Linked DNA regions of Mus musculus: regions 2, 3, 4 and 5 are each reported to be linked to region 1. Evidence: microRNA targets listed by miRTarBase, many of them from high-throughput screens and not tested one by one. Region 1 holds a microRNA gene; each other region holds the end of a gene's coding sequence.

Region 1 (4,067 bases):
CCACTACACCTGCTTTGTCTTGGACAGACCCCTCCCATCAGGCTGCACTTCCAAGACCCTCTGTGTTCATGTGTTAACATTTCTTATGTCTTATTGCTGGCCTCACACTGAGTCCTCTCCTCTTGTCATCCTGTGTTAGGGTTAGGCTATTGTCAGCCATGTGTCTTAAAGAGAAAATTCCATAATGGGGCACGCTTTGCCTAGCTCCACCCATATGTCCTGAAGAGCACCATTCCTCTACATGTGTCATGCTTAGCCTAACCCTTCCTACGTTCTGTATGCCCCCTCTCACACCTGTCGTGGTCACCTGAGTTCTACCCATGTGTCCTAGAGAGAGAACACCTCTCCCCACGTGTGTCATGCTTAGCCTAGCCCCACCCGTGTGCCCTGTGCACCCGAGCTTCATCCCACTTACTCCCCATTCACCTTAGGCCCCTCCCTGACTCTGAGCTCCTCCATCGTGAGAGGGCCCCTAAATCATGTGTCCCATAGCCCTCGTTCCTTTTAGTCACCACAAACCCTGCTGGTGCTCCAGATGCGGTACACGGAACTCTTCTCCTCTCGCTCTCTCTTCATGTTGGGAAGCCCCACCTCTGCACGCAGCACGTTGAGACATCCACCCCTTGCCTTGTGACATGGAGCGCTCTGCCTCTACACATACCACACTGTGACGTGCATGTCCTCCAGGTCACAAAGCAACTCATAGGTGTCACATCTAGTCCTTCTCCCCACTTGTGATGAACACTTTCCTTGACAGATGTCACACCGAGCCCCTATTTCCTCTATCAGAGCCCCTCCTCCTTATGTCCCACATGCAGCCCAGTCTCTTTCTCAGGAGTCATAGGCTCTCCTGTACAAGAGTCATACTGAGCCCCTCCTCTTTTTATGTGTCATGTTACCCCTCCTCTGCACATCACATTTACATTTTTTCTCCCCTGTACCATGGATTCTCTCCCCCATGTATAGCCTTGGACCACTCCCCATCCGCTAGATTTAATCCCTTAATCTCTCCATATGTTACTGACACCCCCCTGTGTAGGTAGGCATCATGGGATGTCCCTGTTCTTTTCTTTATGACATGAAGACCCCCTCTTTGCGTGGGATATCATATCCTTCATCTCTCCCTTGTGACATACGTCACCCTGAGACCCTCCTGCTTCCCGTGAGCCATGTCCCTATGCTCCCATACACATACATGTCCCTTTGCAACCCTCTTCTGCCCTGGATGATGTGCAGCTGTGTTCCACATGCTGCCCTGAGCCCCCCTTCTCTCTCTCCCCTGCCCCACTGACATCTGCAGCATCTTACCACAGCATTGAGCTGCCTTAACCCTTTGTCATTCACATGTCGTGTGCAGCTCCCTTCCTCCCTGGCTTAACACCGAGTCCTCCCTTCCCCACCTGTGTTCACCTGTCTTCTGGCCTCCCATCCTTACTACTCCCTCCCACCCCCATACTACCTCTTTATACCCTGCTCTCTGAGACTATGCTGGGACAAGTGTTTGTTGGCAGTTGGTGGGTGTGCCAGACAAGGAAGAGAAGAGCACAAGTCAGGAAAGATTTTTTTTTTTTACTTTATTCATATGTAAGGTGATACACATGTGCCATTCAAGCTGGCCATGGTGACAGAGGCCTGTCAATCATAGCCACACTTGGAAGCCTGAGGCAGGAAGATGGAGAAGTCGGGATCCACTCTGGATTACACAGATCCTGTTTCAAAAACAAACAAACAAACAAAAAAACTAACAGGCAAGCAAAAGCAGTTTGTGGTTTTTAGTTATTCATGGAGGAGTGTAACTCAAGTTGACACTCAAAGAACCTGGGGAGCGGTTGTTAGCTGTACCTGCAGTTTGTCCCCTCACCACACTGAGTAGCTTTTAACCCATGCATCTTTTTGGGGGATCCATCTGGGGCGTCTAAGCTCCTGCTGGTTCCCATGAGTCCCTTCTAGGTCTGCAGAGGAACCCACTGGATACTCGGGATGGACCTTAGCAGGACACTCCTGTGACCACAGTCACCCTTCCTTCCCTCTCCGCTTCCCCACCCCTCCTTCAGTGCTCCCTTGCCCCTCCTCTCTCCCTCCCATCCCTCTGCTCCCTCTCCCCCCTCCTCATCCCCTGGATTGGCTCCAGTCACTCCATGAGAGTTTATAAGAAGTGAGGTTGGGCAAGGAGGGTAGATGCTTCCACTGTGCTGCAGGTGCCCTAGGGCTGGCTGGCCTTTGGTTTCCTTCCTCTAACACTAAGCCCTGGGAGTCTGTCCTACCTGTTGTCTGTGCTTCTTGCCTTGCTTTTTCAGGAGAGGAGGGTCCCAGTGTAGTGAGAAGTTGGGGGGTGGGAACGGCGTCATGCAGGAGTTGATTGCACAGCCATTCAGCTCCTATATGATGCCTTTCTTCACCCCCTTCAACCGCGTGAGGCCTCCGGACCCTCCTCCGCGCACCTTGGGCCGCTTAGGGACGCGTCTTCAGCTCGCTCTTTTCCCCTGGCATGCTTTCTCGCCATTCTCCACAGTTCCTGGAGGGGAATACCCGGGGCTGGGCCATACCTGAGATCATTCCTTGGCGGGGGAGCTATACCCCTGGTGGGACATTCCCTGGGGCTGGGCCAAGGGTCACCCTCTGACTCTGTGGCCAAGGGTAGACAGGTCAGAGGTCGATCCTGGGCCTACTCTGGGGCTCCTCCCACTGGGATTCCAGGAGCCGTTCTCTCCTGGAGGTCCTCTGAGGGGACCCAGCTCCTAGCAGAAAGGGTGGATCCTTGAGAGATGGGGTCTTTGTTACTAGAGCAGGGCACAGGGCTGAGACAGGGCAGGGCTGAGCATTACCAGTGCTCCCAGAACAGGGTCTCCTTGAGGGGCCTCTGCCTCTATCCAGGATTATGTTTTTATGACCAGGAGGCTGAGGTCCCTTACAGGCGGCCTCTTACTCTCTCCTTGAGCCCTTCTGGAGACGTCTCACCTCATTCAGTTCAAACTCTGGATCCCCTAAGGAGTGCAGAAGATCCCTGTTCATCCTCCTCCCAGGCCGGGTGCCCACAGACACTTCAGTAGCACAATGAGCAGCTGGCGTAGAGTCTGAACCCCAATACCTAGGTCATTGCATGCATACAGGGCCCATCTCCATCCCCACAACACCACCATTATTAACTGCATTTACCAGCTATGGCAGCCAGCCCCGGCACACAGGAGCACCCTGAGTGAATAGCCTGGAAGCTGTGAAAGGATTTGAGGGCAGGACAGGGAGGACCCAGGCCACACCCAGTCCCCCTCCCCTTCACCACTGTCTCTCCCTTCCCTGTCCCCCCCTCTGCCCCCAATCTCCTTCTTCCTACTTGTGCTCCTGCACGGTCTTGGTGGCAAGATGGTCATGCGTGTCTCTCAGCTCACACAGGTGGATCAAAGTCCAGATGAGGTTTGCTGCTCAGGTCTCAGATCGTGTCTAACGATGTGGTCCCCTGGGCCCAGCACCAGGGCTTAAGGTGTATGGGACAGTTGAGGGGTGGGTAATATTTTCTTTTCCTTTTCTTACTATGGGGGTAGCCCAAGTTAGCCCAGGTTACCCAGGCATGTGGAGATCTCTGCTCCAGCCTGGTGAGGAGCTGGTAAAACTCTGGACTCAGGGTCCTGTGTGTGTGCTGTCACTGGCTCTGGTACCTGCAGGGACATCTTATAAGGGGAAGCAATGGAGAGGACAGGGAAGGTGGGCAAGGGAGGGCCCCTGCTCCTCTTTGTTCCTGGATGCTGTCAGAGCTCTCTGGTTGGGGACTGAAGCTGGGAAGTGGGGGCAGCTCCTTGGTGGGTGGAGTCTGCAGCCAGGGCCTGGCCTCTGGTTTTCACCTTGACAGGGTTGGAAGTGATGTTATCATCCCCTAGCAGGAACTTTCACACCAATTTCTTTCTTTTCTTTTCTCTTCCCCAGGAGAAAAAAAAAGGTTTGTGTTGTGTTTTTCAATCTCTATAAGTGGCTCCGCCGATAACCTGATAACCTACCGTTTTAGCACGTTTTAGCACGTCACCAGCTCTCTTCACAGTCCGGACCACCTCCTTTTGCTGTTAATGGGGACAAAT
Region 2 (4,067 bases), not on the chromosome of region 1:
TGCAGGAAGCCCAACTTGTTATGCGGATGCAGGAATCCAATTTCTGCTCCTCAGGTTTGTGCACTTTATTAAGCCATCTCTTGAGCCTCTAAATTCGAGTTTTAAATACAAACCACCTTCCTACTTTCCAACATACAAGATGCTGGACACCCCACCCACACTTAATACATCCCCAGTCAGCAAGCCTCATGTTTGGACCACTCCCAAGGCTGTGCTCACTCTTCCCCTGGTCAAGAGAGAGCCAGGTGGGGGTAAATGCCCCACAGCCACTGCCAAGGGTGGTGGAGGAGTCCAGCACACCGCCTGCATGGCCCCTCGTCCCTGACAGCCGCAACACCACCCGATGCTTCAGAATCCTTTTGACTCTTCCCACCACTAACAACCGCACACCCATTTTCATAAATTCTTTATTTTGGAAATTTTAGTAAAAAATCAGTCAGGAAAAATTGAAGAGATTTATTGTATAGTAATCAGACAATTGATTTGAATAAGGCACATTCAACATCATCACTATGGAAATGAATGCAAAAAGCAGTTATGGTGATTTGGTAAGTTTGACAAGCCATTACATTTGTAAATATATAAAGGCAAAACTCTATGGGGTTAAGAAATCTTTGTTAGAGAAAGTAAGAGTGTTGGTGAAAATCATTTTTGCTGCACTACTCTCGTGTTCACAGGCTGCATCTGTCTGTCATAGCCAACATCCGTGCTCACAGTGCTCCTGTCTTTAACAAGACTGTGGACCAAAGGCTGTGAGACAAAGCTGTACCATCAGCCACAGTGATTGGGGGTGGGGGTGGGGCACATAAGCCAATGGGAAGGGTACTGAGCCTCACTACTCCCCCTAAGCCTGCGGACTTCCAGGTAAAAGTTACTAAAATTAGTTCAGTGTTAAGAACTCTCTAGAGCTTTTCTGACAATCTCTGAGTGGTGCCCAGAAGAACCCTAAATTTTACCTGAAAGGGAAAGAAAGACCCAAGTCTAAAGACAGTTTCTATTTCCCCTGCTTGCTTCTAAGACTTGGTATTACTCAAGAAGGGATTCCTAGTTAAAAACAAACAAAAAAAACCCCACCACCAATAAAAAACATACACACACAGGCAAATTATCACAAAGAATTACAACACACATAAAAGGCTGGAAAACTGAATATGAAAAGCAATGGTCTAGAAGACAGTACACGGGATAATAGGCTGGTGTGGCGGCACACTACCGTAATCCCATCCTGTAAGAGCCCGAGGCTTGAGAATCATTACTTTGGACTGTGTAGAGACTCGGTATCAAAACCAGAAAATTACTTGTTCTGACCCCAAACTAACATACTGCTTCTTTTCAAAATGACTTTTAAGAGGTCTGGGATATAGGTTAGTGGTAGGGCACTTTCCTTGAATGTTAAGGCCCTGAGTTTTGAAACAGAGGATAGAAAAAAAAAAAGCAACAACAACTGACAAGTCTCACTCAGCTGATTGCACTTATGACAAAAGGAAAAGTGTATTTTTACAAGGTAAGTAGTAAAAAAACCAAAAATAATTGAAAAATAATAAATTTCTAAAATGTATTATATCCTAAATTTGTGTTGACAGGAAACTATGTAAGGCTGTCGTTTTACATAGTTTTAATGAGGAAACGATTGCTTTCCACTTGTGATCTGAGCCACTGACATAGACTGTGCACAAATACTGTAGACATTCCTCTAGAGTCTGAGGTAGCATGGGTCAAAGGCCAACATGACAGTCTGCAAGGCACCTTTTGACGCGATTTGATGTGGTTTTACGCGATGTAATGCTAGTGGCTAAGAGCTTACATGAAAGTTGGATATGATGGCACACACCTGTAGCCTCGGCACTCAGCACACGGAGGTAGGAGAAATTACTCTAAGTTCAAAGTCAGCCTATGCTACAGAGTAAACACCAGGCCAGACATGGCTATGTGACAAGCCACTAGCATTCAAAACAAATAAGTCTAGAAATACAGAAGAAAAAAAATTCAAAAATGGCAAATGGATTTTTCTTCAATCCCTGTGTTTTACAATGAGTTGACAGAAAAATTCCATTCACTATGCTTAAACTTTGTGTAGGGTCTTTTCTGAAATCTATATCAGGATTCCTTCAAAATCCCAAATACATACTGTTTCATGTGTGCCCCCATACTTAACTTACTTAACACCAAAGGTTGTGGCCAAAGCCATCTTGTGGGAAATATTTTCAGATCACCTCTCACCCGTGTCTCTGTGATCCATTTAACTACCAATAGACATCTTCTTAGTGTTTCCTAAAATCCCTTTAGACTCAGGTTGCTTAATGTCTTAAGTGTATACATGATCTCTTAGCAGCAGATGACCCAAAACTGAGTGCAAGATTCCAAGGGCTTTTCCCATCCATGTAAAGGAACAGACCTTTTGTGGGTCAAGATCATTTTACTAGAGTTTTACTTTCAGAGTTCACGTACTGATTAACAGCTTATTGGCCCCAGTCTGAAATCATGGGATGTAGCTTAACAACGGATATTGGCCATGATTCCTCTTTCTGTTCCCTACAGGAGACCTTCCCCTTGTGTTTATCAAGTTCCTTTCCTGACGGCATTTCTAACTAGCTGAGGACCTCAAGTCTTTTCTGAAAGAACACAGACAACAGTGAGATTCCAGCAGGGGAGGACAGGAAAGATCCACAGAAAGGGACAAAAGCTCACGGCCCTGCCCTACACCCTCCAGTAGCAGCTCATCTGCAGGTCTCTGTCGCCCTGAACAACAGAACTTCCTGTTACTCCTCAGCTTTAACCCTTTCATGTCTTCCTATCCTTCCTACTCTAGAATGCACTTTCACTTCATCAATGGCTTTCAAACTTCTCTGTGAAACTCAGCTCCACTGAAATCCTAACAGAGAACCCCAAACCCAGCAGCCAAGAGCAGGCATGATTCACAGGAAGGAGGGGCTGCTGGGTAGGCAAAGACAAGTGACATGGCCAAGGGGGATTTTTTCATTTCTGGTGATTACTAACAATTTCGTCATTGAGTCCAATGCTTGGGAAGGTTCTTTTTTGAGCACAGCTGTTCTGGCCTCAGCTCACTAACGGAACAGAAGCACACACACACCAGGCTCTTAGGTAGGTTTGGAGGGTTGAATTCTAGTTTTCTGTTTTCACCTACTCAAAGTGCAAATCTGTGTAAGACACAATCAACCCACAAGTGTATTATTAAAGTGAGTATTAAGGCCAGGCAGTGATGCTGCACGCCTTTAACCCCAGCACTTAGGAGGCAGAGGCAGGCAGATTTCTGAGTTCGAGGCCAGCCTGGTCTACAAAGTGAGTTCCAGGACAGCCAGAGCTACACAGAGAAACCCTGCCTCAGAAAAAAACAACAAAAAAAAGTGAATATTAAAAAGCACTTAATATGTAGTAGAAGAGTTCTCTAAAATCATTTACATGACACCTCGTCCAGGTCCAAGCACTGCCCTAGAGGCTGGTGAGAGTCCTTGCAGGCAGCAGTGGGGCTGCAGTTCCCCGGAGAATCAGATCTTCCTGTGCAAAACAATTCTATTCTACTGATGTGCTGGACACTTAAACAATACATCATGTTGTATTTTAACCCTGATTGGCTTTAAAAAACAAAGAAAAACATCAGGCCAATTGTTAGTTTTATCAAAGTTCAGACTAGAAAGATTTTTTAAAAGTCAAAGAAAAAAAGCTTCTTTTCTAACACAGTGACGGCCTCCCAGCTGTTTCCTCTCACATGCCAGTCACCTCCTAGCGGGACAGAGCCCTGAGACATGGCCCTTCCATGTCACCTCTGTGACTGGCTTCACAAAAGGCAGCCTCGCTCTTCTATGTTCCTGACGGGCTGGACGGGCAGCACCAGGTGGGAGATGCGGCTCCAGAGCCCACTCAGTTTGTCTGAGTCCATGTGGCTGTAGGAGGTGGGGCTCTCAGAGTTGGTGAACTTAGCCCAGAGTAAATCCCTCACCTTTTCTTCTATTTCCCTGGGGCTTACACTTGCTTCTAACGTTTCCTCCTCCAGCAGGACTGTCAGGACAAGTGCCACATCTTTAAAGGCGGCGTTCTCATGGTCACAG
Region 3 (4,067 bases), not on the chromosome of region 1:
GACCACATCAGAGACATCCATCACCGGGCAGAAGTCAATCTCGAAGATATGAGTGTAGAGCTAGGAGAGAAAAGGTGGGAACCAAGCAGGCCACTCGAGTGGGTATGATGTCACCAGGATGAAGCCCCACTGTCACCAACTGGAGAAACCTATCTGCAGGAGCAGCGCCATGAACAGGTGTGCCAAGTCAGCATTTTCACCCTTCTCTCAAGTTGCTTGCAGTCACATCAACAGATCATAATGGCAGAAATAAAGTGTTCCCTCACTCCGGTCTCCTCCAGTTACGGAGTCTGACCACCGCCAATGGGAAAGCTGAGAACCTTTCATCATGGAACACATTTGTGAAACGCATTGGCTTTAACAAACTGTTCCCCACACACACCTGGCCTGCATGGTCTCCTCTGACCAGCGCATGCTATATCATATTCAGAAAGTGCTTATAGGCTCCCACTTGCATGGAAAAACACCAGCAGCTGACAGAAAAATGAAACCCCATCTTGGCTCTGGAGAAATGATCCCATCAGGGAAACGCATAAGGCTATTTGATGAGATTTAATAAGCTCTAACGAAATCCAGGTGAGGGGCTCTATCTGGAAAACCCCAGAAGATTCTTATGAACAGCTCCAGGAAATCACTCAGGAAAGGAAACGGGATGCAAAACCTTGCACCACCACAGTAAAAGAGCAACCAGGATTCAAACTCCACGAATGGAGAGCTCTCGTATAATCCGGTCGGAAGATGCCTGGCTCCAGTATCCTGGTTTCTCTCATTTGTGCTTACTGAGTTTTATATAGTCACATAAAACCATATGTGTACATGTTAAATGAAAGTAGAAGGGAGAATGTATGATGCAGGGGGAGGGGGGAGAAAAGAAAGTAGAATATATATGCATACATATATATGTATGTATTCAAAATGCAATATAGAAACATATTCTATAGAAATAAAATCTCAAAAAGTCTTGAGGTTGAAAGACTTTCCATTTCCCTCCATCCCCTGACACCTCACACTTGGTCTTGGATGTAATCAACTTTAAAATACCTCTTCCCTTCTTTGAGACATGTTCTTGTGCTGTAGCTCAAGGTGGATGGAAACTAAAATCTTCTTTCTCCATCTCCTGACTGCTGAATTACAAATGAGTACCACCACACCTGGGCCAAAACATTACTTTTAATTCTACATCAAACACACACTTGCATACACACAATTGTAAACAAGAACATCACAGAGCCAACCCTAAACCTATCTAGTCTGTAATGTTCTGAAGGCGGGACACAAGGGACACCGTTCCTACAGTTTAAGAGAAGCAATTCCTCATCCAGTAAGACCTGCTATATTTTATGTGCAGAGGCAGAAATCCATGTCTGCCACTCAGGAGAGCATGCTTTGCCATGTGCAACTACTCAGTGACATATAGGCACGCTGTTTATAGAGCCCTAGTGTGCCCTTATTGGCTTTAAGTTTGAAACCCTAAGCCCCAGTATGTGTCTCTGCTAAGAATAGGGCTCTCCAAGCCTACAAATGTTGAGAGAGCCAGGAAGGGAACGGCTCCCACTGTGGGAAAACCCAAAAGATGGACCAAGGCCACAGCCTGAGCAAACAGAGCCACTGAAAATGCTCAAACCACCTGCAAGCTCTGTCATAGAGCCCAGGATCCCTGAGGACATTCTGTCCTAAGCTCCCAACACCTCGGACACAGGGCTGACCCCACTCAGAGGGGGTTACATGAAATAAAGTGCCCATATTAGGTCCTTCAAGGGAGGTTTTAAAAGTCTCTGGCTAACATCCAACTCAATTCTAAAATGAATCTTCAGTCTTGGGGAGGAATAAGCGAAGAGCTGCAGCTTTGTGGACTCTCATGGTTTTTCTATTCAAACTCCACTGCCAAACAGCTGTGAAATTAAACCAGCACTCCTTGATGGGCTTCCATGAAAGAGACCACCCCAGGGGCAGGGGCAGGAGGTGGGCCTCAGTGGTGAGAGCTTGCTTGCATATTAGAGAACATGGGTTCTATTCCCAACCCCTTGCATTGTATACAAATAAATGAAAGAAACACGCACTCGCGTGCACACACACACCCCAAAAACAATGATCACTCAAAGTCATCAACTTTGGGCCACTTTTTATCATAATATATTTGCCAATATCTAAGGGATAGATGGGCAGGGGGTAAATTTTCTGTTCACAATCCTTCAACAACATAGAGATGGCTGAGGGACAAGCACATTGGTAGACAGCAAATGCCGCTTTCAGCCTCCCAGGCAAGTGGTTTTAAATACATAAACAATAAAGGTATGATTTCAGTAGATCTCTGTTTAAATCTATGCCGTCTCTTATTGCCCAACCCTCCTCCCATTTCCCACACAGAAATAACAAACCCAAGCGAAGAGTGCCACCACATCTTACAAACAGGTCACATGTGTACAAACAGGTCAATGGTACAGATGCAATCCTTTTCTATAAATACCTGGAGCAAATGGGAACTCTCTCATCCCTAAGGACCTATCCTTGCTCCTGCTCAGTTACTGCTCAGGTAACCATTCCTTAGCTGGACACTTGTGGGGTCTCCTGTGAGTACCAGAAGCCCGTCCAGGACTAGGTAGAAATCCTGCCACCTCCCCACAGAGAAGAGATGATAGGAAGATAGGACCTGGGGCTGACTAAGCTGTTTCTTCCCAAGAACTAGAGACTGTTTCTTGGCAATGGCCCAGAGGGGTGGTGGTGGCGCACGCCTTTAATCCCAGCACTTGGGAGGCAGAAGCAGGCGGATTTCTGAGTTCAAGGCCAGCCTGGTCTACAAAGTGAGTTCCAGGACAGCCAGGGCTATAAAGAGAAACCCTGTCTCGAAAAACCAAAAACAAAACAAAAAAAAAAAGAGAGAGTGTGAGGAAGTTAAAAAAACAAAAACAACCTCTGGGTACTTTGATAGGAAAAAAGAAAGAAAGCTTGATAATCAGTGGAACCCTGTCAAGCCAATATATCAAATTCACCAGAGGGAAACCATGAGCGCTCCCTGTAGGAAGATCATAACTTAGCACCAATTTCTTTTGACTCTGGAGTTTTTCCTTCTCCTTCCAGCCTGTGGAGGGACTGTGGGGCTCAGCTTAGCCTCATCAATACTTTTAATCAGTAACGAGTGTGAGGGGCACATGGTCACACGCCAGAGAGCGAATAGCAGCTCACACCAGAGAGGCAGCTTCCCTCGTGTGGATCATGCTGCCATGGGGGGAACGTGAGGGACCTCAGAGTCTCTTCCTGGCCACTCCGGGCCGCCGGCTTTACTCAAAGCGACGAAGGTGGTTGTAGAGCGACTGCACATAGGTGAAGACACACATGGGGTCCGGCTTGCGGCCCATCACCATCATATCCTCCACTTCAATGAGGCGCTCACAGTTGGCCAGATTCCTGAAACACAGAAGCCCCATCAACACATGGTCCTCGTGAATAACCAGTGCCACAACTGAGCTTCTATTAGCACTCTCCCCAAACTCAATTCGCCTTGAGTCTGTGGTGCTCAAGTGCACACCAGAAGGGAATTCAAGGTCTCCAAGAGAACCCTGGGAGCTGCTGAGTCCGTGGGGCGTTGCCCAGACTCCCACAGACACAAACCACGTAAGCAGTTCACACGGAAGTAAAGAGATGACACAAGTCAATATCTCGTGACAATTGGCAAGAACTGTGAAAGCAAATGTAAAATTGAGGCAAAATGATAACTTCACCCATCTGCTTCCTCTCACTGTATGCTTGGTTTTTATTTTATTTTATTGTTTGTTCTCTGTGTGAAGCCTTGTCTGTCCTGGTACTTGCTCTGTAGACCAGCCAGCTTCAAACTCACAGAGATGAACAGCCTCTGCCTCCCAGTGCTGGGATTAAAGGCATGTGCCACCACAGCCCAGCTAGTTTTGTGTTTTTGAGGTGGGAATTTGCTGTATAGCCCAGCATAGTCCTAAACTCATGATTCTCCTGACTTGGTCTCATAAAATGACGGGATTATGATCATGTACCTTCATGCCCAGCTCTGAAATATTTTTTAAACTTAAAATACAAACAAACAAACAAAACAGGAG
Region 4 (4,067 bases), not on the chromosome of region 1:
TTTGCTTTTTGAATATTGGTGCCTTTCCTTTGTTGCATGTTCATAACCATTGTGTTCATCAGGAAACAGAGCTTCTGTCATTCCAAGTGTGTCTCTGTGGCCTGCTTAATGACTTTGACCTGAATCCAACCTTGTTTGATTATGGCACCTGCTCTCTCTCTATTTGCATTTTCCCAGTTGCACTGCCACTCGTCTTCTCACTTTAATGATCACGAATTACTTTGTTCTCAGTAAGAGCAAGCAGCCCAGCCTTGGATTTTACTTTGTGATCCAATCCATCAGTCTCGTTGCTTTAATGGATGACATAAGCCCATATACAGGTTTGGACAAGAGGTAAGTTTGAGCAGAGGCATTCGTCTGTCATGCTTTCTCCTATACATCTTTCAAAAACCCCTTCATATTGTCTACTTGCTTCATTTTTGTATAGGTTTTTCTGATAATTTAAACGCTTTGTATTGTTGTGCAATGAGGTAAAGTTAAAATGACCTTAATTTTCAGTTTCTTTGGATCTTATCCACGATGTTAATGTTATTCCCTAAGTAGTAGTAGTCATCACAGGAGCATATACTCTTGGAAGCTAAGTCTTTTCTTTTTACTTTCTATTCACTATTTAAACATTATTGCTGTCTGTATCTCCATATGTACACATGTGTATGTGCAGGTCAGAGCACAGCTTTATAGAGTCAGTTCTCCCCTACCTTCTTCCATTGAATTCCAGGGATTGAACTCAGGACACCCACCAGGTTTTACAAAAGTGCTTCTCCACCTGTGAGTTTTGACCCCTTTTGGAGGTCAAACAACCCTTTCACAGGAGTCATCTAAGACTATTGGAAAACACAGATCTTTGCATTATGATTCATAACAGTAGCAAAATTAGAAGTAGCAGCAAAAAAAAAAAAATGGTTGGGGGTCAGCACAACACGAGGAACTGTATTAAAGGGTTGCAGCATTAGGAAGGTTGAGAAGCACTGCTTTAGAGCAAGAACCTTTATCTGTGGTGCCATCTTACCAGGCTTAAAAAAATAACTATGTTCTGCCTCATGGGGGTGGTGCTCAGCTTTAATCCCAGCACTCAGGAGGCAAAGGCAGAAGTCAGAGGAGTTCGAGGTCAACCAGGTCTACTGTCTGAGCGCCAAGATAGCCAGGGCTACACAGAGAAATCCTGTCTTGAAAAACCAACCAAATAAACAAACAAAACCTGTATTAAATGCTCCTAAGCCCCTTATTTTAAATATAATTCCACTAGATTTGGCAAATGTGTAGTCATGGTATCTAGCATATGCATATACCTTAACTTTCCAGGCATGTTTCATAAAATATAAGGTGGAAAGAGATAAGACACTCAGTTTGACCTCTAACCTCTACACGTGAACACAGCTGCATAAACATGAACACACATGACAAAAACCAAAAAATAAATTTTAATTTAAATATAGTACAGTGGTATGTGATTCTTTTGTTGTACAAAAATAGTTGTAAAAGTGTTTTTTCCATTTTTAAGTATACACTACAGACTATTTTTAAATAGTACATTGCTATGATAGACTGTATAAATTACACATTCCCCAGCCAAGCCCTTCTTTTCCAGGCTGTCATCTGTGAGAGAACACAGTACGAACTTGATGCCCTGTCAAGACAATCAGAAACAATTATCCCTCCTAACAGAATTGAATGTGCTTCTCTTTAACAAGCCTTCATGTTTCTGTCTCAATCCTGTAGATTAAAAACTTTTAACAGTAATCTAAAATTCTGCTGTTGGGGACAGACCGTCTTCTCTCAAGGAAAATGTCAGAGACTACTAAGTAGTAAACTCACAATGTCTCACTGGGAAGTCCATGACTGTGAATGAGTGTCTTTCAGGAAGCTGGAACTGAACAGTGTGTCACTGAAGATGTCAACAGCTCCCAGGAGTTGATCTGCATCCCACTCTTTTGCTTCCAAGTATTTAAAGCAAAATAAGTTTCATAAGAATGATTCACAGAACTATAGCAGGTTTAGTCATATCTGATCCACCTAGTACCTTTGGCAAAGAGAACCAGGTGCTACTGAAAAAGAGGGAACACCAGAACAAGACAAGAAGCTCTGGCATAAGGAAATGGTGCAGTTTTGTTTCCTGCAGTTCTGTTAGACCAGTACTGTGTTTTGTGCTTTGGCCCAATCATATCTGATCCTAATGTAAAAGATGGCACACTGGCCATCTTCTCGGGAAGACTTGTCCCAGGACTCAGAGATACAGAGCTGAGGAACACCTTGGGACTGGCTAGAGATGAAGGCTGTGTTCAGCCTCTGGTCCTGTTGCTTCAGCTGTTTTACTCTGTACAGGTTTCCCTCTCCTTTCTGTGCAGAACTCCCATCTGCCATCTGCAGCAGGAGGCTGGGAAGGAAGAAGAATTAATGGTGTTTCTAAAAATTCCTCCACCTCCTCCTCTGTGCAGTCCCTGCTCTATGAGGATGGGTCTGTATGTTCTAGCTTGTGTACCTCAGACCTACAGAAGAAAATTACAGAGCATACAAACAAGCAGGTAATCTGATACACAAAAAGATGTATGTCTGTTTTCTGAAAGTAGGATGGAAGCCTGACAATACTTTGTTGTAGAAAAAAGAAGTTTATGTGATGACAGCTCAGAGACACGAGGCTGAGATATGATGGAGAGGCTAGCCATTAGGAGGTCTCTTCAAAGGACCTGCTTTATACTTGTATCAATAAATCCCTACGATGTGTTCATGTGTGCGCAATATAAACAGGTACGTATGCTGAGCAGTGGTGCACACATCTTTGATACGAGCACTCGGGAGGCAGAGGCAGGCGGATCTCCGAGTTCAAGGCCAGCCTAGTCTACAGAGTGAGTTCCATGACAGCCAAGGCTACACAGAGAAACCCTGTCTCAGAAAAAATATACATATATATATATTTCATGAAAACTTTCCCAGTCCTATGTTCAAAATTGCTGTTCATTCAGAAGATAGTAAGAACCCTGCCCTGGCTTTGTTTCCTAAAATACAAGGGAGACCTAACTCTGAGACTTACACACCTTCAGAGATGCCAAGTTTTTCCTTTCACTCACCTTTTTAAAACCATATACTCAGCTTGTCTCAACGTAACAAGCTACTCACAGAGAGTGGTCTCATAAGCTAACTAACTACTACTGACTGCTGTTTGGTAGAGGGCCTCATGGCCATCCTCAGAATCACACAGCTCAGAAAGACGTCTCCCAGGAGTCAGAGATGTAGTCATGGATGGGCTAATGTACAAAATGATGGAATATGATCAAATGATGGCAATTCTCTAGTATAAAGGTACTTGTTACTGCAGGTAGGAGAAAATGTCCTGCCGGGCATGGTGGCACACGCCTTTAATCCCAGCACTCAGGAGGCAGAGGCAGGTGGATTTCTGAGTTCGAGGCCAGCCTGGTCTACAAAGTGAGTTCCAGGACAGGCAGGGCTTATACAGAGAAACCCTGTCTCAGAAAAAAAAAAAAAAGAAGAAGAAAAAAGATATGTCCTGAAATGCTAACAGAGAAAGAAAAACAAAACTAGTATCTATTCCTAAAGCCAGTAAATTACAGAATAGTGTTCAGAATGATTATGGAAGAAAGGCACCAGTAGATTACATTGGGTGTCAGCAGGCCAGGGAGATTCCTGTTGCCTGATGCCTAAGTCCACACATACCACCCACTCATCCTAATGCTCTAAGAGCAAGGAAAGAAATGTCAATCAAGCAGGGTCCTGGATTGCATATTCAAGTGCAAGAAAACAGTTCCAATTTGACGTGAGAGGAAGCTGGTCCTGGCCTAGGGTTTGGCTGCTTAGATGGGCACTCTATTCTCCTTGGCCCACTTCTTCATGATCCTGATGATATACTCCACTTGGGTGTTTCCTGTGCTTCTCAGTAAATGCAGCACTTCTCGGAGGGTCTCTCTGAGGAAAGGTTTTAGAGAACACATTTTTTTTAATAAAGAAAAACTAGCGATCTCACGACATAGTACTATATTGCAATGAGGTGTCTGTGCTCATGGACCCTCCACTGGGCATTTCAAAGCTGCTACTTTTCTAAGCCATGACAATGG
Region 5 (4,067 bases), not on the chromosome of region 1:
CATTCTATTTATTTTTGCTGTGCCATCAGCAGAGCAGATAGCCACAGGGACTCACTTGCATGGAACTCTGTGTGCTGTAGCTTCCTCTCCTTTCTAAGATGCAGAGCCCAGCCTTGTCATTCACTGCTATGCCCTCTAGTGTGCAGGATTCCCCAACTAAGCCTCAACACTTCCTTTGGAATGGTTTGTGGGGCCCCCATCCACACCTGGGTTCTGTCTGGCCACCACCTGGCAAGTGTGAAGTGGCATATCCTTACAATGTGTCTGTCTGTGCCTTGCAGGTGAAGAATGCTACACAACATCCCCAGATGGTGTTCACGGTCCGCCATGCCACCGTCACCTTCCAGACAGAAGGGGATACGTGGAGGGAGCAGAAGGAGCAAAGGGCAGCCCTCATGGTGGGCATCCTCATCGGAGTGTTTGTGCTCTGCTGGTTCCCTTTCTTCGTCACAGAGCTCATCAGTCCCCTGTGTTCCTGGGACGTCCCTGCCATCTGGAAGAGCATCTTCCTGTGGTTGGGCTATTCTAATTCCTTCTTCAACCCACTCATCTACACAGCATTCAACAGGAGCTACAGCAGTGCTTTCAAGGTCTTCTTCTCCAAGCAACAATGAGAGACCACATGGGAGTGCCTTCTTCCCATAGCTTGTAGCTCAGTGGGTTATATTGTCCCATGAACCTTTGCAGGCTGCCCAGCTGTCTTGAGGACAAGATCCATCTGCCAAGGGCACCAGGGTCACATCAGAGCTCAGCTCACTTCAGTTCTATGACCATGTGTTGGAAGTTGTATTCACCTGAAGGCTCTGGTGGTTTATGTCTGGGCACTCTTCCTCACTCTGTACCAGCAGCCACGGACCTGGCCCACAAAGTGCCCATTCCTCCTTCAACTCCACTCCAGCAGAGACATGAGAAGTTTGATTAGAACATCAGGAGGGAGGAAGTGAGACAACTGGGGCAGGCAGAGAAAGACAGAAAGAACAAGGCTAGTGGGGATCACACACACCTGTAACCCTAGCACCAAGGAGACTAAGGCAGGAGGAGCTCAAATTTGGAGCCAACCTGGGCTAACATGGTAAGTTCAAAACCAGCCCGAACTATCTAACAACATATATAGCAACAGCAAATGCAATGGAGAGACTGTTTGAAAAGCAGCAGCCCATAAGGGCAAAATTTCCAGAACAGCCCTCATTTCAGAGTTCTGCTCTGTGGTCCTGGAGTGTATGTCCCAATATGGGGTCCTTCCTAATATTTGATCACAAATTCTGTCCCCAAACATATCAAAGCACCAGCCCATTTGTGATGCACAGTGATTCCTGTCTTTACCATTTGTTCATTGTAAACACAAAGTCCCCCTCTGTCTGTCTCTCTGTCTGTCCCTCTCTCTGTCTTTATCCCTGTTTCTGTTTCTCTGTTTCCTCTCTCTCCCTCCCTCCCTCCCTCTCTCTCTCTCTCTCTCTAAGGACAGTTTCCAGTTAAAATCAACTCAGTCCATCAACTGGAAAAGCAAAATATTTCCTTCCATTTTGAAACAATTGCTCATGAAAAATAGAAAAATCTACCAATTTCACAGAATTTATCAAAATTATTTATTTACTATTGGGTTTTCTTGGTCTAATTTCTTTAAATTTTTCTAGCCTTAGTGTTTCTTTCTTAAATATTAAAATTTTAGGCTAACAGCAGCCATGAGCTATCTATTTTTTAAATAGAGTTTCATAGTTGGTGACTATATAAGGACCTGACAACCAGACACATGAAGTGAACAGGAGTGCTGGCCATTTTATAGTGATGGTTTTGTTGGTGTATGAACTTGACCAGATAGGCAGACACGGGTCAAGTGATGCCACTATCAAGTTGGCAGTGTGACTGGTGAGTCAAGACAGGCTAGGGAAGACACAGTGTTTATACGGCCACAGAAAACCTTGGGCACACTCTTACCTCCAAGGCTATCCCAAGGGAACTCTGAGAACACTATCAAAAGAGCCAAGGAGGGAAAGAAGAGCCAGAGCCAGTCACCTTTTGAGAACCCTGTCTGTGCTGACTTCTCCCATAAACTGAAGATAGAGCTATCAGGACCTACAGGGTTGTGGACAACTCTTAGCATGTGGTTCTCAGCAAAAGCACCCACACTTCAGATCCCAGCAGCGAGAAACACTGGTTTGCTTTTACAGCCACCCAGGGGCCGTTGGCTGAAGAATCCTCATCCAGGAAGTGGGCTCTCAGCACACCCAGACGATGCTGCCATTGCAGAGAGTTGGCATGTGTCTGCAGTTGGCTGGAAGTGTGATGTGACAACTTCATCCTTATGAGGTTGTAACTATCTGTTCATTTATTTATGTTTGACCCAGGGCTGTACTAAGTAGCCTTGGCTGTCCTGGAACCCACTGTATAGACCAGGCTGATCTCAAACTCACAGAGACCTTCCTGCCTCTACCTCTGCCTCTGTTTCCTGAATGCTGGAAAAGTATGTATTACCACACCCAGACCAAGAGGGTTTTTAGACAAAAAAATTCTCCAGTTCTCTGAGCTCCTTTGTCTTGGAGCAGTGGTCTAGACTAGACACACACCGTGCACTGGGGACTGGCCTGAGCCAGGCTGGAAAGTGAACAGAACGAAGGACTCATGCGTCCAGACTGTCATGACTGTTCTCATAACAAGGTTTCATTAATGGTTTCAACAAGAGCTTTTTCTCTTTCTTTTTTTGGCCTTGGTTTTTTTGTTGACTCTGAGTCCTAGGAAAGTGATGCACATAGAATGTTCTAACTGCAAACTCTGCACTGTCTGTCTGTCTGTCCTTTACTGCCTATGCTCAGCCTGGAGGACTCACTATGATGAGCCTCTAGACCCAAGGAAAGTCGGGGTGCTCCTCTGTAGCAGCAGTAGAGTGACTGCCCACCCTGGTATGCTGAGTACTTACAGCAGCACTTAGTCCATCCTTGCCACCTGAAGGGTCCCAACCGACCGACACCACTTTTATCACCACATGGGACCATTCGCCCATATCACCTCAATTTAAAACAAACAGCTTACCCATCATTCAAAATATCTCCAAACTCTAGGGCAATAAAACTCCATTATATTCCATGTCCTTGATTTCACAAATGCACAAATCAAAACTATATATATATATATATATACATATATATATATATGAAGGCACAGATATATTATATTGTATATAATAAATTGTATCCATCCACATTCCAAAATAGAAAATTTGTGATCATTTCTTTGTGGTTTTGACATGAGGTTATCTTGAATTTCCTGCAAAGACAATCTTTACACCAGAATATGAACTGATGAAAGGAGTTCGACAGCCAGCTTCATGACTGTGGACATGTTTCATGTTGATTCCTGTCTGTGCATGAAAGCAATGCAGTGGAGAACTTACTTGGGATTTCCTTAGATTTTTATTTTGCTTCCATGTATTTCTTAGTTCACATACTAGACTCATAAGTACTTTAAAGTATAGACTCGCTTACTTCCTCATATTTCCTGTCCCCAGGATCACTGGGACCCAGGGGGATCACTTGACTTTTCAGTGTTATAATGAGGATGTGTTTGTTGAGTGCCCACAAGAGAAGGAATGGACACCGCATACGGACTCCAGTGTAAACTGTACCATGTCTGTCTATCTAAAATTTCTGATGGGGTTTCTCATCCAGTCCCATCCTTCAATATTTACCTGTTTTTCCTTAAAGGTTTGTTTGAAGCTAAAATGACAGCTCAGTGGCTATGAGCACATCCTGCTCTTGCAGGTGACCTGGATTCTATCTTTCCTCAGCACCACATTAGGCAACGCATAACCACATGTAACACCGTCTCTAGGGGATCTGATATCTCTGGCCTGAGCAGCTGCCTACAGGCATGCACACATGTGCAAACCTACACACATGTACATATAATTTTAAAATAATAAATACAGTGATTTTTTTTAACCTCTAGTTTTTATTTTATTTGTATGATTGTCTACATGTGCATGAATTATGTACTTGCAGTACTTGTGTAATCCAGAAGAGGGCACCAAATCCCCTGGAACTGTACAGATATTTGTGAGCCACCAAGTAGTT

Evidence for each region. Region 1 holds the annotated microRNA mmu-miR-665-3p (ACCAGGAGGCUGAGGUCCCU, at 2,890-2,909, shown strand). A microRNA usually pairs through its seed, bases 2 to 8, with sites in the 3' UTR of a target mRNA and lowers its output. Matches are read on the target gene's strand: a 7mer-m8 pairs with bases 2 to 8, a 7mer-A1 pairs with bases 2 to 7 and ends in A, and an 8mer does both.
Region 2: the mRNA of Tor1aip2 is a reported target of mmu-miR-665-3p. Seed matches in the 3' UTR shown: 7mer-A1 at 3,307-3,313.
Region 3: the mRNA of Smtnl2 is a reported target of mmu-miR-665-3p. Seed matches in the 3' UTR shown: 7mer-A1 at 2,808-2,814 and 7mer-A1 at 2,589-2,595.
Region 4: miRTarBase lists Ttc26 as a target of mmu-miR-665-3p. Seed matches in the 3' UTR shown: 7mer-A1 at 3,427-3,433, 7mer-m8 at 3,213-3,219 and 7mer-m8 at 1,905-1,911.
Region 5: miRTarBase lists Htr5a as a target of mmu-miR-665-3p. Seed matches in the 3' UTR shown: 7mer-A1 at 1,210-1,216 and 7mer-A1 at 2,370-2,376.

Annotation. Positions count from the first base shown.
Region 1 is chr12:109,583,479-109,587,545 of GRCm38, forward strand. Mir665 (microRNA 665) reads left to right here and starts at 2,836; the gene lies at 2,836-2,929. It overlaps Mir337 (microRNA 337), which reads left to right and starts at 2,311; the gene lies at 2,311-2,407. Mir3544 (microRNA 3544) reads right to left here and starts at 2,395; the gene lies at 2,335-2,395. Mir540 (microRNA 540) reads left to right here and starts at 2,602; the gene lies at 2,602-2,668. It also overlaps a transcript of Rtl1 not described here.
Region 2 is chr1:156,065,188-156,069,254 of GRCm38, reverse strand. Tor1aip2 (torsin A interacting protein 2) reads right to left here. Exons shown (of 7, transcript NM_172843.4): 7 at 394-4,067. The coding sequence ends at 3,797. Among named protein-coding and RNA genes, the nearest start is that of Tor1aip1, 31 kb to the right of the region's middle.
Region 3 is chr11:72,388,009-72,392,075 of GRCm38, forward strand. Smtnl2 (smoothelin-like 2) reads right to left here. Exons shown (of 8, transcript NM_177776.3): 8 at 2,106-3,405. The coding sequence ends at 3,279. Mir6338 (microRNA 6338) reads left to right here and starts at 748; the gene lies at 748-856.
Region 4 is chr6:38,424,979-38,429,045 of GRCm38, reverse strand. Ttc26 (tetratricopeptide repeat domain 26) reads right to left here. Exons shown (of 18, transcript NM_153600.2): 18 at 1,399-3,918. The coding sequence ends at 3,807. Among named protein-coding and RNA genes, the nearest start is that of Ubn2, 6.9 kb to the left of the region's middle.
Region 5 is chr5:27,850,473-27,854,539 of GRCm38, forward strand. Htr5a (5-hydroxytryptamine (serotonin) receptor 5A) reads left to right here. Exons shown (of 2, transcript NM_008314.2): 2 at 282-4,067. The coding sequence ends at 614. Among named protein-coding and RNA genes, the nearest start is that of Htr5a, 11 kb to the left of the region's middle.